Astyanax mexicanus: one gene and its partner. The protein of the gene in region 2 binds, or shares a complex with, the protein of the main gene of each other region. Links are inferred from orthologs where the notes say so. Each region holds a gene or a part of one and is shown on either strand. Other genes may lie near its edges. The genes, in order: psmb8a and psme4b.

Region 1 (7,814 bases), on a different chromosome or scaffold from region 2:
GTTTGCTTGTCTTTGCAATATTGTTTTTATTCAACTACACTGGTGAGTTTTCAGGCACGATGTGTCCATTTAAGACTTGGCCATTCCTACACCGTAATTCTTTTTTTGGGCCATAGACTTGCTTGTATGCTTTGAATCATTGTCCTTTTGCATAACCCATCTTTGCTTAAGCAAATCACAATCTGACTATTGGTATTATGTTCTTATGCAGAGTTAGCTTTCCACCAGATTTATCAAGATCCATGTCTTACAAAACATTCTACCACCACAGAATATTATCCCACAGATCCTAAAATTGTGTACGTTGATAGTAACTGAGGCACAAAATGACTGCAGATCCTTAAGATGTTTTTGTAGGCAATGCACACATGCTGAATTTGTTTAACAGGCTGCCCACTAAATTAAAAGTTTCACCACTGTTCAGAATTTTCTCCATTCATGGATAATGACTCCCAAAGACCTAGTTTAAGACTTAGCTTTGTAACACTTCCCCGACTGGCAGACTGTATACATTCTGGGAATGTTTACATCTGTATTTGCATTCGAACACTGTCATTAAATTGTACCTGGGTGTGGTTAGGGAAATTGAACCCAACTATCAACTGAATGTGGTTAATTGAATGATTTAGTTGATATAAGGAATAACTTTTTTTGCATGAAAATTAGCACCATAGCATGTTTAATGCACTTTATCTTATGTAAAGAAAAAGATTTTCCTTTTGGGTGCATAGATGCATCTGCTGAGTTGAGATGACTGGCAAAATTTCCTGACATGGCAACAAATGCACACACATGCGCACACATACACACACACAGTTGATGGTAACTTTATATGTGCACTCCCTCCATCCTCAAACGATTCAAGTTCGAACAAACCTGCACTCTTTAGCCAGGAGTCTTTCCCAGTACTGACAGTCTGCTGCACTGCCGGACATGGTACCCAGCAGGTAAGGGTTGATCTCAATCACCTTATTTGCTTCCTTTGTGTCTATTAGAAACAAAACATATAGGATGGTATAAAAATTACACGACTGGGTGTGGTATTGTAATTTACAATTATGCTATAACTTTTTAATTCTGTGAATATGTGATTTACTTTGTGTAACTTGTGAAGTAAAGTGATGTGAGTATACTTACCTATGTAGTTACCAGCTGAAGCCCTAGAGTCAACTGCCACGATGACGCCATGGCGAAACTTGAAAGCCAGTGTGGTGGTGCCATGGTTCATGTCAATTGATATGCCATCCTCACAGCTGCATGACTGTAGAAAGGTTGATGGCTGAAAAAACACAAGATGATTTTAGAGCCTGTTCAAACATTTTTGATTTATACCACTTACAATTATTATTATTATAGTAACACTGTGTACTTTAAAGTCAGTGAGCAGCTTAAAATATCCATGTTGGGTCTGTATGGGTACCCCAACTGGGAACCAACAAAGGTTTTGTCTACGGCTTCCATGTTGGCACCGCATATGAATGTCAATCGTGTGGCACGGCCCCAACAAGAGTTAGTGATAGGACCATGATAACAGGTTCCTTTTGGGAAGACCAACCGGGTGCCAGTAACAACACATGTAGGCTACAAACCCACTCGGAGCCCATGCCCACCCCAAAATTATCTAGACCACATTCCATCTATGGGAACCCAATTAGGGTCAGTAATGGGACCAGGAGGGGTTACGTGTTAAAAAGATCCAGCTCAAGACCAGCTTGCCATCTGGTCAGTGTACTGTTTAGCACACTGAGTTAAACTTAGTTTAATTTTCTGACTGTATCAAGCTAAATTCAAAAACAGAAAATTGTGTAAAAAAAACGTAATCTTTATTTTATCCATTCAGAGTGAAGAAGAAATGGATTTTCATTCAATTTTTTTATCATATTGTTTTTTATTTCAGCCTTTGGCAAAATAATTTCAAGAGACATTAAAAAGTGAATCTTCTCTTGATTTTCAGATTTGTCCATTTTTGTATCTTGTAACACAAATTTGGGGGTATTCTTGCAAAATACAAAAATGGAACAATCAGAAAATAAATAAAAGATCCTTTTTTATTTTTCCTGAAAATCCAATTGTGAGGTGCAGAAATGAAAAACCTAAAATTGGGAACAATGGATGAAAACTTATTTCTTGTACACTGCACTACATAAAAAACAAGTTTTACGTACAATTTTCTATGTTTTGCATTTAGCCTTTACAGTCTGAAAAATAAATGAATAAACATTACACTGATATCATTACACTTACCCTATCTCTTGACTAGCATAGAGTTTTTATACTGGATGACCAGCTGGTCTTGAGCTGGATTTTTAACAGGGTAAATTATAGGCTCCATCTGAGTTGTGCACTGCACATGGGGCCTAGATCAGAGCCTTGTGGGATTAAGGTGGGCTGTAATGATGAGGCACATTTTGGAAGCCAAACTGGGTCCCAGACAGTAACAACATGTGTAGACTACAAATTCAATCAGAGCCCATGCCCACCTGAATCCCACCTAGACCACACTCCATCCATGTGACTAGTCCCACATGAGCACTTCAACTGTAACGTATTCTAAGTAAGCTATAGTTTAATCGTACTTGTACTTGTACAGGGATGCATGTAGATACGCAGTTGAGGGTGAATTAATCAGGCCACTGGCCGATCATCCATCAGTTATTTATTACACATTACTTACGTCAACTCCAACAGGAACGGCAAATTCTTGTGATTTCACCCCGAAAGAGTAATGATTCGGTCCGTCCACGAAGTGAGCTTGCCTCGAAAACAGTCCAAATCCGGATACGGACGAATATCCACTAACTTCTGCTAGAGCCATGCTGTTCTGTTTAAAACAGCAGACGGTATTATTAGTTATTAGTGTTTCCTGAAACAAGCTTTAGCCCCGAAAAGAGAAAAGCAGATTTTCACCGGGTGAAATGTGAGCAATCACAGGAAGACAACGTATCTGTAGCTGAAACCGAAAGTTTCAGGGATGCTGTTTTTTTAGTTTCGATTTTAGCCGATTTTTCCTGCTTTAACAAACATTTTTAAAGGTTTTCTGAAAATTATATAATTTTACACACTCTCATGTTTACTCGCTTTATACGTTTTTCACTTTAACGTTAAAAAAAATAATTTTTATACGGAAAAGAAAAGACACGCACCTACCTGACGAGTTCCCCACAGCCGGCTGACCAATAGGAGCGCTCGTCTGTGCGCGTCATCAGTTCACAGGGAGAAAGCTCGTCTACAGGTTGCGCTGCAGCAGATTAACTGTAGTTTATTAAAGTGTCAGCTCATGTAGCCTGCTAGCCTGCCTGCTCAAATTGTATACCTTTCTTATCTTTTAATCTATTCTTATTCAGTTATACACTAGCAATTATTTTATGAAACACTCATGTGACACAAATGATACAATGCAAGTAAAACTAGTTTATACTATACTGAAACTGTGGTGTGATTTTAAACGATTCAGTGAAAATATGCAGGTAAATTAAATTGACTTATATTTAAACAATTAGTAAAATAGTATATGAATAAAGTGTAGAATTTTTATGTTTATTGGGTTTTTGAGTGTTTTTCAGAACTTTTTGAAAAGTTTTCCATTCTTCTGTAATAATCTTATAAATAATCTTAGGTTATTTATTAAAACAAAGGAAGTGTAAATTAATATGTGATGCTAAAACGATAGCTAATCCCTATATGCCCAATTTAAAACCTCTGAAATATAGTAATGATTTATTACAAAATTTATATTGACAACACATAAACCGTGTACTTGAATTAAAGTGGTAATACTCAAGGGTAAAATGTTATTTCAGTAAAAGCAAAAGTCCTCAATTCATACCCCCCACTTTTTACCTTTTTACCATTTTTCACAGATGTTGCGCTCCCCGGTATGCGTGTGATGGATAGCTAGGTGTCCAACAGGTTAAAACAAGTGCAAAACATACAGTGTACTCTGATTGGTGTGCTTCCTTTAAGTTTGTTTTAAAATCTAATGTTTTTATGCACACATAAGCCTGTAGTGTAATGACAGACTTTACATAATGGAGTAAAAAGTAAAATATCTGGGTTTAAAATGAAGTAGAGGTAAAGTAAAAAGTTACCCAAGGTAGAGATGTTTCAGTAAATTCACACATATTTTTTTAAACAGTAACTGATTACATTTACTTTGGTATTGTACACCACTCATAATGTCAGCTTGCAATAAACACAAACATGGTTGTATTTTTCCTTTAACCATGAAAACAAAACAGAACATACACAAGTCTAATTTGGTCATTTATTTATTATCATATTCACAACTAACTGAAAATGTGATTTTTGTGCTTTCTGACACCAGTTTATTTTCAAAAACAGAGGGCACAGGAGTTTGGCTCAGGATGTTTCCATTGTTTGAACATTCTCATGCACAAGCTCCAGCTCCAAGCGAACCACCTTCTCTGTCAAAACAGGAGTTGTACCTGGTTTATACTTATATTTTTCCTGTCTGGGAGAGAGAGAGGAACAAACAAAAAGGAAATATTACCCACTCAAGTACTCAGATTTTTTCTAATAATTGATTAGCTCTAGGCAGGACTTTTTTAAGACCCTTATTCAGTGTAGTCCATATTAAGCCTTCAGACGATCACATAACACAATAAAAAAAGAGAATTATTGTCAACAAACTGCTAAAGTGCAGGGTGATTACACTTTGTACAGCTGTTTGCCTGTGCATAATACAGTAATACTGAATAGTCCAATAAGGTACTGCTAGCATATTAACTAATATACCTATAAAATTGACTAAAATCTTTGAAAGGTCAGATTTGACATGTCCACAAAACTTAAAAAAATCTTATACGTGTCACAATAAGGCAAAAAAAGGTCACTTCAGCGTAATAATGTGATCATAACCTGACTGAAATGTCCTTTTTTACCTCTTGTTCGTGTATTCAGATTCCTTATAGGGTCTTATGTAGTCCACCCCTTCCCTGGTGATGACACAGATGTCAATGTTGTTTCCTGAACCCAGGTCACTCATGATGCCTGCATGGATGGCATCGCGCACTAAAAACTTGGCCTCCTCAAGCTAGAAAACAGGATGAAACAATGTGAGAGTTGGTTCATTTTAAGCCAGTACAGTGTTATAAATACCTTTTATTACTAAGGTTGTCTGTGACTGAAGTAAATTGAACATAAGGAAGAATCAGATTATTTTAAAACAGCCAAGTACCTCCAGACTGGGTTTGAACCTGTCTTCCAGAACACCCATAGCAGCTAAATCTCCAGATCCTAAACACAACCATTGATTGAATTAGCAAATAACTGCAGTATCATTAAATTACATGTTTGAATGTGACTTCTGGATGTCATAAACTTACCCATTGCAATAAATGGAACCTTGGTCATGCTTCCAAAAGGCCCCACATTGTAGATGTGACTCCCAGTGCAGTCGACCCCTCCCAAAATGAGATTCGCTCCAATCCCACCTCGATACCTGATATATGACATCAACATTAAAGTAAACAAAAAAGCAACAATAAATGTCAGTTTTTATCACTTTATCACTTGCATTAACATACATTTTATTGGTTGGACCACATGCAGATTTTAATTGATCGCAAGAGAAGCCACAGCCAGAATGTGATATGAACGAATGACCAAGTCACATTTGGAGAGAGGGATCTTAACCACATTAAAAACAGGTGTAAATGGAATGTGTTCCACAAACAAATTTATAAAGATTGTTTGCTGCATCTCATATTTTTTTAGAAACTACAGCAGATGCAAGACATTACATTCTCATCCACCAAATAATTTCATGACTAGAGAATCCCCCTTTGTAAAAGGGCACTGAAAGTAAAATCAGATCTCAAAAAGTGAAAATGGAATGTGCTTGTCAACCTGAAGAGCATATCCTGTATGATGTTAGCTGCCATGACCACTCTAGGATTTCTGCCACTGTTCAAGGAGAAAATGGTGAGGTTGGATGACAGCATGTCTGTAGTTTTTTCTGTGTCTGCAGCAGTCCCTGCTCCACAGCAGCTAAACACATAAAAAAACAGACAGTTGCAACCTCTTATATTTTTCTGTATGAAATCTGAGTAGTGTACACAATCAGTCAGAAGGTTTAAAAACAATTAGATAATTTTATGATACACCACTCTTTCTAACATTAAATTATGAGTAATATTGAGGAAAAATGTTATGTTTTTTACAAGTGGAGGTGCCACTTACTATATGTTTGGAGCAATGTAGTGAATTTTGGCACACATTTTGTCAGCGACTACTTCACTGGAAGTGGCCCTTGTGTCTGCTCCCAGTACCACACCATCCTACATACATAGATAGATAGATAGATAGATAGATAGATAGATAGATAGATAGATAGATAGATAGATAGATAGATAGATAGATAGATAGATAGATAGATAGATAGATAGATAGATAGATAGATAGATAGAAACCAATATTAAACATCACATATAAAGAATATGATTTGAATAATCCTACATTTTGAACTCTCTTCTGATGTTTCATACCTTATACACCACTCCTGCAATTGTGGTTCCAGTCTTCATGGGTTTAGGTGTCTTTGTCTTCTGTTCTCCAAGCACATTGTTCAATAAAACATTTCTGAAAGACAAAGGCAAATGATAAGGTAGCTGACAATCCTAAGACATTATGTCATGGTGTTGCTTACAGGCTACGAAAAAACACACTTTTGATTATTGAATTGTGCTTTTAATGTTTTTTTTTATTGTTGTGGCTATGTTTTCTTTATCTTCTTACTAAAAGAGCTTTCTTTGATTTATTGCTTCTGGGCAACATTATACAGATACATAACGAGGCAATCATGTTGAAACAGTGGTTCCTAATTTTTTGATGGTTAGATCACCACTGTCAAAATGTAGTTTTTTTTCTAAACAAATATGAAAATCAAGCTATAGAGGGATAATGTATAGCAAGCTGTTGTAGGATAAAGAACCATTTACTATCATTTAGGACAAAAATGGGATGTATAGGTGTATGGTGTTAAGGTGAGTAAACATGAACAGGTCCCCTGTCAGGTGCTCCTCTAATGAAGAAGTGCTCAGAATTAAATGGGGCACTTTAGTTTCTGAATCAGTTTTCTCTGAGTTTGCTATTTATAGGTAAAAACTATGGACAACATTTCTCCCAAATTCCAAATAAAATATTGTCATTTAGAGCATGTATTTGCAGAACATGATAAATGGCTAAAATAAAGAGGATACAGAGCTTTCAGACCTCAAATAATGCAAAGAACACAAGTTCATATTCATAAAGTTTTAAGAGTTCAGAAATCAATATTTGGTGAAATAACACTGTTTTTTAAATGCAGTTTCACACTTTCACACTGCTTTTGGATAACTTTGTGCCACTCCTGGTACAAAAAAAATCAAGCAGTTCAGCTTGGTTTGACGGCTGTGATCATCCATCTTCCTCCTGATTGTTTTCCAGAGGGTTTCAATTTGGTAAAATCAAAGAAACTCCTAATTTTTAAGAGGTCTCTTATTTAGGGCTGTATGTGTTCAATTTTAGTCCCTGCTAGAATTTTCCGACAGCAGGGAGTTTAATACACAGACATCTGTAATCTGGCGATGAATTAGGACTCAGTAGTTTGAGTTTAAGGCTAAAACTGCTTGCTATATGAGCGCGGCTGCAGATCGTGTCACGGCAGGTCACGGCGTATCTCTCTCCTCAGAGCGATGCGATGCTTCCTCAAACGAAAATAAAAGATTTCACCGTATTATGTTTCAGAAGCAGCTAATATAACAAACTTCCTCGTTTGTTGTGAAAACTTCATGTGAAGCGAAATATATGAGGTT
Region 2 (7,990 bases):
TTAACCAATGATAAAGAGGGTGCCTGAAGTTGTGGATGAAAACCTATGGGGCGCAGTTTTGTAAATAGGCAAATATAAAGCCAGTGAGTGCAAGTATAAGTGTATGTTTCAAATACAATGGCTGGCAAAGCTGTGTTGCGGACCAGCAGTGGATTTTGAATTCGGTTTAATTTCAGATGCATGCAATTAATACCAGAAGCTGCCCTATAAAGAGTACAATACAAGTAAGTAGAGTACAATACATGTAAAAAACACTGGCTATGCTTACCGCTTGCGAACATAATTAAGCATTTTTTGTTTAGGGGAGGCTTCTGCTCGACAACTAAATGTGAGAAAAGGAAAGACGCATAAGCCAACACTAAACACATCAACTGAGATCTTACACAGTAATTACAATTTAATGGGTTCTTCTAAAAATAGCTGCTGTATTTTATGTGAGGCTAATTTAATAAGGTGGTACTAAGAAGAATTATAATTTCTTAGAATGGCCAAGACTGAAATTCAGCATACTTAAACATCCACAAACTGAACTTTAAAGACGTAAACAGAGAATTCAGAAGCTCTTCCTTTTCCATAAACACAGTCTTAAGACTAGGACTGCCTACTACCAGTGTGTGTGCATCCCAAACATAAACATCTGGCACAAGGTGCAATGTTAATATTTAAAAAAAGACAAAGTTCCATTGGCATTTGTGAAGACCTTAAGTAAGAAACCTACTTTGGAAACCAGTTGAGACCAAGATGTTCGGTTTTTGAGTAAAGGATCTTCTCATAGAGCTCGTACAAGGGTCTCCAAGGCAACTCCAAGTCATCCTGTGACAGCAACTCTTTTTTCCTAGAAATGGCATAAGAAAGCATGTTCAATAACGTGGGCCTTTATTTCAAAATTACATTTTCTTCTCAGTATTGTAAAACTAGTTTAAAGCTGCGTACTTGAGTAAATTGATGAGGAGTCGAGCAAAGCTCTGCATCATGCTGATTTCCAGCTTAGGGATGGTGACCAGCTCGTACAAGAGCTTAATGAAGAGCACATGGTCTTCCTTACTGAACTTTCTGCCATAGAGACGAAGATACCTGCCAGTGATATACAGAAAAAATTATCAAAGAGAGAAAGCAGAGTTCATAAACACATCAGTAACCAGCACAAATATAGGTGACTCTAAACTTGTGAATGGACAGATGTTATGTAGCTACAGTGGTCATGTGATGCACAAAAAAAGAAAAAAATGCAGTGGGGTAATGTTATGTTGTATCAGGAAAAGAGTGTAGCAATGTCTAAAAAAAATATAGTAAAACACAACAAGTACAGTTGTTTTCCACTGAAAAACGTAGGACACACAGCTGTCTTTTGTCTGTCAAAACAACTGACAGCATCTAGAGTCAAAACATGACAATATAGCTAACCTAACCTATATTGTTTTGAGTAGAAATGTGTGTAGCAGTGTTCTGTAAATGACCGAACGTACAGTAAATTGTAAAAACACAAAATAAACACGTTTTCAACACAAACTGCAGATTGTTAGAGGCCAGACAGAGAGCTAGCTCACACTAGGTTATCTAAGAGTATTGTTGTTTTGCAGTGTCATGATATGTCAGGTCATGAAGTGGGAGCTGAAAACTATCAGCTAGCTATAGTTAGCTAACCACAAGCTAAATCACACAAATTCCTTAATGACAAGCTTAAACAAAAGCTTTTGACCATATAACTGCTAGGTAGGGTAAAATATAGTTTATGCTTCCCTGTTTCCCCACTTTTCTAGCTATATTATTAGCCCATACTACTGTTAGCTGGTCTTTAACAAAGACGGTCAGTGAGCAGCTTCTGGAATTAGCCACAACTTGCTGAGTTATCGTTAGCTAGCTTGCCACCGGTTGCAAGTCAACAAGATAAGCTAGCTTTAATGCTAAAGCGACGCACAGCTATCCTATAATGTTAGTTTAACTTAGCTAACCTGGCTATACACCGCTTACTTATCGTTAGCTAGCTTAACTAGCGCTAAGCTAACTAAGCAAATGAGTGACTCAGAACTTGCTAACTCATCTGGCTAGCGAACCACCGGTTGCAAGTCAACAAGCTAGGGTAAGTTACAAGCTAAACGCTAAAGCGAAACACACATCTAACAGATAATATTAACTAGATAAGAACTGGTTCGCTAACGTTACTTTTAGGGCCATATTTAGCTAAGCTAACAAGCTATCTGCACTGTAGGTTTATCTAGTTAATTACCTAACTAACATAAAAAACTCGAATAAAATTACTAACATAGCTAAAGCTTGCTAACTAACTATTTAGAAACAGAAAACCTAACTATATGCACTGTCGGTTCATTTACACACAAACAAACCGATAAAATTAATAACTTAGCTAACGTAGCTACACATAGATACGCTAAGCTAACTAGCGTTAGCTAGCCCTAGCCATCTAAGCAAATGAGTGACTTAGAACTTGCTAACTCATCTAGCTTCCTTAGTATAACACAGCCGTAGCGTTAGCTAGCTAGCTAGCTTAGATAGCTATAACCTAGCAGGCCCAGCCATTCAGCTTATTTGGGTTAGCTATATAGCATTAGCTAGCTAGGCTAAGTTCAGCTTATTGCCGGTTAAACCCTGAAGTGTGTGTGGTGTATTTGCTGAAGGGAACATAGCTAAATAACACTAACTACTAACTTAACATTTTTATTTCGACGTCTAAAAGCAGCTATACTCACGTCGAGAGTTTTCTCGTCCAGAAGAGAACTCCGGGCCACAGCTCCCTGAGATGGACAGCCCGAGCCAAGTTCCCCTTGATGCTGGCCAAAATGATATTAGACTCATTGTCTAGTTTGTCTGCATAAGGAAGGAGTTTGTTGTAGACAATGTCTTTCTGAGGGACAAAACCTAAGGTGTCCTCCTGGTCCTTTTTCATATTACACTCCCCCAATAGCTGGATCCTCTCCTGGACTTGTTTGCTGTAGTATCTATCCTCTTAGTCCTTGACAAGTTCCCCTGACAAATCTTTTATTGACACATCCGAGACTCCCCGTCTGTCGTCCCGAGAACTCGACTCGTTTATTGTCGACACGATCTCTCAAGCACGTGGACGAAAGTTGCTCATTCGCTCCTTCTGACACGCGTAACATTAGCCTGGGTCACCCACATATAGCTAGGAGTCTCCCTTCACTTTCCTGGACACACACATAGCTAACGAACTGGACACACAACTGGCGGTGGGTAGCATAGCAGAGCCTCCCTCCCTGCACATATGCTGCACATACACAGAGGGCGCCCCTCTCGGTGCCTTTCCGCCACTTCATCTAGTTATTAAACGTGGATGAAATGTGGGCATGGATCAGTGCAGGCAGTCATTACATTAGCATCAGTAGTGACTGACAATAGAGACAAAATAGAAACAAGAAATGATTATATATGAAGCAGTGTGTTTTTTTTTCTCTCCTTTCACTTTAATCAACAAAATTGTTGCTAATCCTCCAACAATCACACAATCACAATCACATAGGGATCATACCTGCCTGGATCTGATAAATCTGCAAAGCTGTTTTTTTGTAGTTATTTAACATTAAAACATTAAAGGGTGTGCAATCCACATAAACATGTGACTATGACTATATATTTATACTATAATACTTTTAGCTATTAAATGAAAACATCTTAGAACCATTTCCTATGAGCCTGTAGATCATGTGATGGAAAATGTGAAGTCAAAATAAATAATCAAAATCAACTACAATAATTGACAAACTGATAATTTTTCCCTTTTCCTATACAGCGTATTCACTAGGGGTGTCACGATTCTCTAAATCCTCGATTCGATTTCATTTTCGATTTGAGGGTCACGATTCGATTCGATTCTCGATTTTCTTGTTTTTTTTTCTTGTTATTATTTTATGCCTCATAAAATTTAAATAATATATTTATTATTATTATTATTATTATTATAAATATTATAAATATTATTATTATTATTTATTAAGATATATATGGTAATGCCATCTAGTGACTTTTTTTGGTAGCAACAGTGTGCACTATTAAAATAAGCAGTTTATCAGAGCTGTGTGTGGATGGCTGGTGAAACTGCTCATTACATGAAGCTGCAGTTCTTCATCCAACCACTAGCAGCAGCAGCACAAGCCCCGCTCTTTTCACTCAGTCACTACTTCAGTACAGCCCAGCCACGGGCTACAGAGCTCAGCCAGTCCGTTTTTACTGTTTCTGTAAACAAATAAAGGTTTTAACCCCACTAACCGGATAATACAGCTCACTACAGTTCATCTTTCAGCCCAAGCAGCTAACAGCAGCAGGTTAGAACAGCCGACACGGAGGCACTGCTCGGAATACATTATAAACAGGTCAGTTAGCGCGCTGCTAACCTCAGGATGTTTATAACTACGGAGTTTAGTGGACACACCACAGCCGCCAGGTAAGTCTTTTAAAGGCTACTGAAGACTATTAAAGGCTATTAGAGTGTAACCCCTGGCTCCCAGGGGTTACAAGAGGTTATTGAAAGCATTATTGGGGGGCAGAAATCAGTACAGGCTGGTTAGATAAGTGATGTGGGTATTGTCTTATAAATATTTACACATAACTTATATCTCTCCTGAAAAGCTTTTATTTTAGTCAGAAACACGCTTGTGTTTACTTTATCTGAGAGAAAGATGTTTTTTTAATTCAATGGAAAGCAACAGGTGTAGTCAATTATAAGTTTAAGATTTTTAATCCACCTCACTGTGATCTATAGTCAGTGTTCTCAAGTCACACTGACACACGCATTTCAGCGAGTTCACACGCTCTCACCTGCGCGCACCCACCCCTCCGTTAGATACAGATACAAAACCTGCGCGCCCAACCCCCGCCCCCCCCTCCCCCGTTGGACAGATAAAAACAGTGATCACACTCCCGCCGACTGCGCTCATGCAGTGGCTATCTCTATTTAAATGAATAGGATGCGCTGTGTTGGTGCCGCGCCATTTGCGTAGCGCGCTGCGCTATTTGCGTAGCGCGCGCGGGAGGGATCGTCGATCCTCTTTTTGACTTCGATACTCGAGATCGTGACCTCATTTCGATTCGATTTCGATAAAATATCGAGATCGTGACACCCCTAGTATTCACACAGTTTAAATGGTTTATCAGTGCCGATGGCATAATGAGATCACTTCAATCCTCTTTGCTCTTTCTTTATTCAGTGACCCAGTGCAGTGATATTGTTCCAACACTAATGTAGTCAGGATGTGTAGCTAAGTCACTGCATAGTTAGTTGCCTGGTTGAGGTTACGTTCTTAACTTGTGGAGTTAAGAACATTCTTAGCTTCCTTAGTTAAAGTAGTGAAGGTCTAATATAGAGTTCACAAATCTCGTGAACCAAAAAGGGCCAGTGTGAATGCAGTATTTAATTCCAGAAACACACCAGACACCTGTTGAAAGGTCTCAGTCTATAAACATTTGATAAGTTATATGAAGCCAGATCCTGAATGAAAACCTAATGTTTGCATCAAATCAGACTGGTCTACCACAAAACAGCAAGCAGCATGGCATCCTCAGTGGTTCAGTATCAGTGGGTGACACCAAAACCCACTTTTTCTGTGCCAGGCCAAATCACCTCAGACTAATCAAACTCCAAACACAAGTTTCTGCTGGGAACCACATAAACAAACACACAGACACACACCTTTTACCTGGAGCTAGGCCAGATATCTAGTCTAATCTCATCAAGCTCACATCCTGCATCCCTTACAGCCAATCAGAAAATGTCACATTGTCCTGGCCGGCCAATTGCATGCGCTGACCTGTTCTTAGCCAACCAAACCAACCTCTTTGCCCGGAGGGTCAATTAGTTCTAGGAAAGCAGATTTATCCTCTTAGATCATAGGTATTTTTAATGAGATCCTGGATTAACCAGCCTCTCGCTAGCTTCTCAAAGACAGGCCACTTCAGTTGCAGCAGTTGTACCACAGGATATGCAGGTGGCCCTATAGCTCAAATCATTTATATATTTTTAAATCCCAAATGAAGTTCATGAAACAATGCTTTTCAACTACCAGATATAGATTTACTAACTATTCCTGCCGTTTGTCTAATAATGCAATTCTGCAAGCTCAGTATAATTCATTATTTCTATATCTTATCAGCTGTTATATTTGTGCCAATTTATAAAGTGTGCCCTCAATCTGTGCAGATAGGCAGGAAACAGCTCCTTGACCAGGAGACACACACTGTCACCATAAATCACATTAGAGGACATTTTTAGTAAATCCCCACTGACCCAGCAGGATGAGGCCACGTTCTCCTTCTCCTTCAGCTTCTACTAACAACTGAGACATGATTGCCCTCTTCAGGACAAATCAGAAAACTCCTGGAAAAGTGTTCACCTGGAACAGAGATAAAATACTGTAAGCAGTACTGGGAAAGTTACTGGGAAATGTGGAAATTCAGTATACAGATACTAATCTTTCCACAGTGTGTATTTACCCTTACATCACTGCTTACACTAGCAGCAGAAAGTAGATAAATAAAACATTGCTGTTTGATTAGAAAATTATGCAACTCATCTAAAAGATGGCCATAAAGTAGATTTACCCTTATGGTTTTGACAATAACTACTCATATTTTATTTTGACATACACTATTCATATACATAGGAGAGGGAAACACATTATTTGAACATCAATTTTATGCCACAGATAACAAAACAAATATACAACCCCACATCAGGAAATATTTAAATAAAAACACAATGTGTCTAAAAAACTATAAATATAAAAGTATGTGATAAGATGCAACAGATTATTGTAGTCATGATTTGACACAAAAACAATATCCATTAAAAACAGCATCCATTTCCGTATACATAAGTGATTTAGTATATTACATAATAATGAAAATGTAAAAAGCATAATCTTACTAAATCCAACAGTGTTTTTCCGTAAGTATATTAGTGTGCAGTTGTTGTTCAGACTCATGCTTTTAATGCGTGCAACATATAATGCGTAAATTCTGTTTAAGCTGGTCTTTAATTCCAAAAGTTGATTCTCTGATTCCACTTATTTGGGAATTGACTTAACATATATGTGCTTATGCTTATTCACGTATATTCTGCTGTCACTATTTAGAGACCAGTAATTTAGCTTTTTTTCTCTCTTGAAATCCAGTCCTGTAGTCTTGCTGTATTTTATCTTAAAATCCCAGTCCCGCAGTCTGCCTATATTTTAAATGTGACTAACCAACAAACAGGATATCTAATTCTGAAACACATACTTACCTAAAATGTAGTTAGGCCCTGTTTAGCAAAGCTGCCTTACTATGGTAAATAGATACCAAACTTACATATAACCAAACTTAATAAACATAATATATATATATATATATATATATATATATATATATATATATATATATATATGTGTGTGTACATACATAGACAGTATATCAACATTTTTCTATGTACTTAATTAATAATTTATATTTTATTTTAACAAAATAAAATAAGTCACATTCTAAAATATCTGAAAATCCTAATACACCACTTTTTAAAGATGCCAAAGGCAGAAGTAAAAGATCATCACTGGACTGGTCAACACACTTGGAGGAGAACATTAACTGTCAGCTCTGATTTGTAATTTGTTGTAACATTTTGCCCCTAGAGTTTTGATAAAATGGATTAAACAGAGCTGGGAAGAATGACAGGCTACAGGGACATTAGTAAGGTCTGGAAATAAAATATATTAATAAAAAACAATATAGTGCACAATATTTTTTTTTCAGTAACAGTGTTCTGTTAGCAATACATTTTCTTGCAAGCTTCTTCCGGAAGTAAATGTTCTGTGACTGATTGACTGATTGAATATGGGACCGCAATGTTTAGCTTTTACCCCAGCTTTCTGAAAGCACTCTACCTCTGTGTCTATTATTGGTCAGTAATGAAAGGCTGAGCGGTTCCAGCATGGCTGTTCCTTCATAATGCTTTAAGCAGAGGTGCTTGAGGCACATTTGTAAAAGG

Evidence for each region.
Region 1: psme4b (region 2) and psmb8a share a complex: the UniProt entries of both Homo sapiens proteins name them as parts of the spermatoproteasome. The link is inferred for Astyanax mexicanus from reciprocal best matches to the Homo sapiens genes PSME4 and PSMB8.

What each region holds. Positions count from the first base shown.
Region 1 is NC_064410.1:22,167,502-22,175,315, reverse strand, and holds the start of psmb8a (proteasome subunit beta type-8), read right to left. Parts: upstream 3,239-7,814; 5' UTR 3,144-3,238; intron 2,822-3,143; 5' UTR 2,816-2,821; coding exon 2,675-2,815; intron 1,280-2,674; coding exon 1,138-1,279; intron 989-1,137; coding exon 877-988; intron 1-876. Other genes in the region: psmb13a (proteasome 20S subunit beta 13a), read right to left, coding at 4,360-4,471, 4,902-5,053, 5,198-5,256, 5,346-5,461, 5,869-6,009, 6,202-6,299, 6,507-6,600. UniProt on the Homo sapiens protein: The proteasome is a multicatalytic proteinase complex which is characterized by its ability to cleave peptides with Arg, Phe, Tyr, Leu, and Glu adjacent to the leaving group at neutral or slightly basic pH.
Region 2 is NC_064422.1:31,571,735-31,579,724, forward strand, and holds the start of psme4b (proteasome activator complex subunit 4B), read right to left. Parts: upstream 3,235-7,990; 5' UTR 2,906-3,234; coding exon 2,709-2,905; intron 1,075-2,708; coding exon 934-1,074; intron 836-933; coding exon 719-835; intron 323-718; coding exon 269-322; intron 1-268. UniProt on the Homo sapiens protein: Associated component of the proteasome that specifically recognizes acetylated histones and promotes ATP- and ubiquitin-independent degradation of core histones during spermatogenesis and DNA damage response.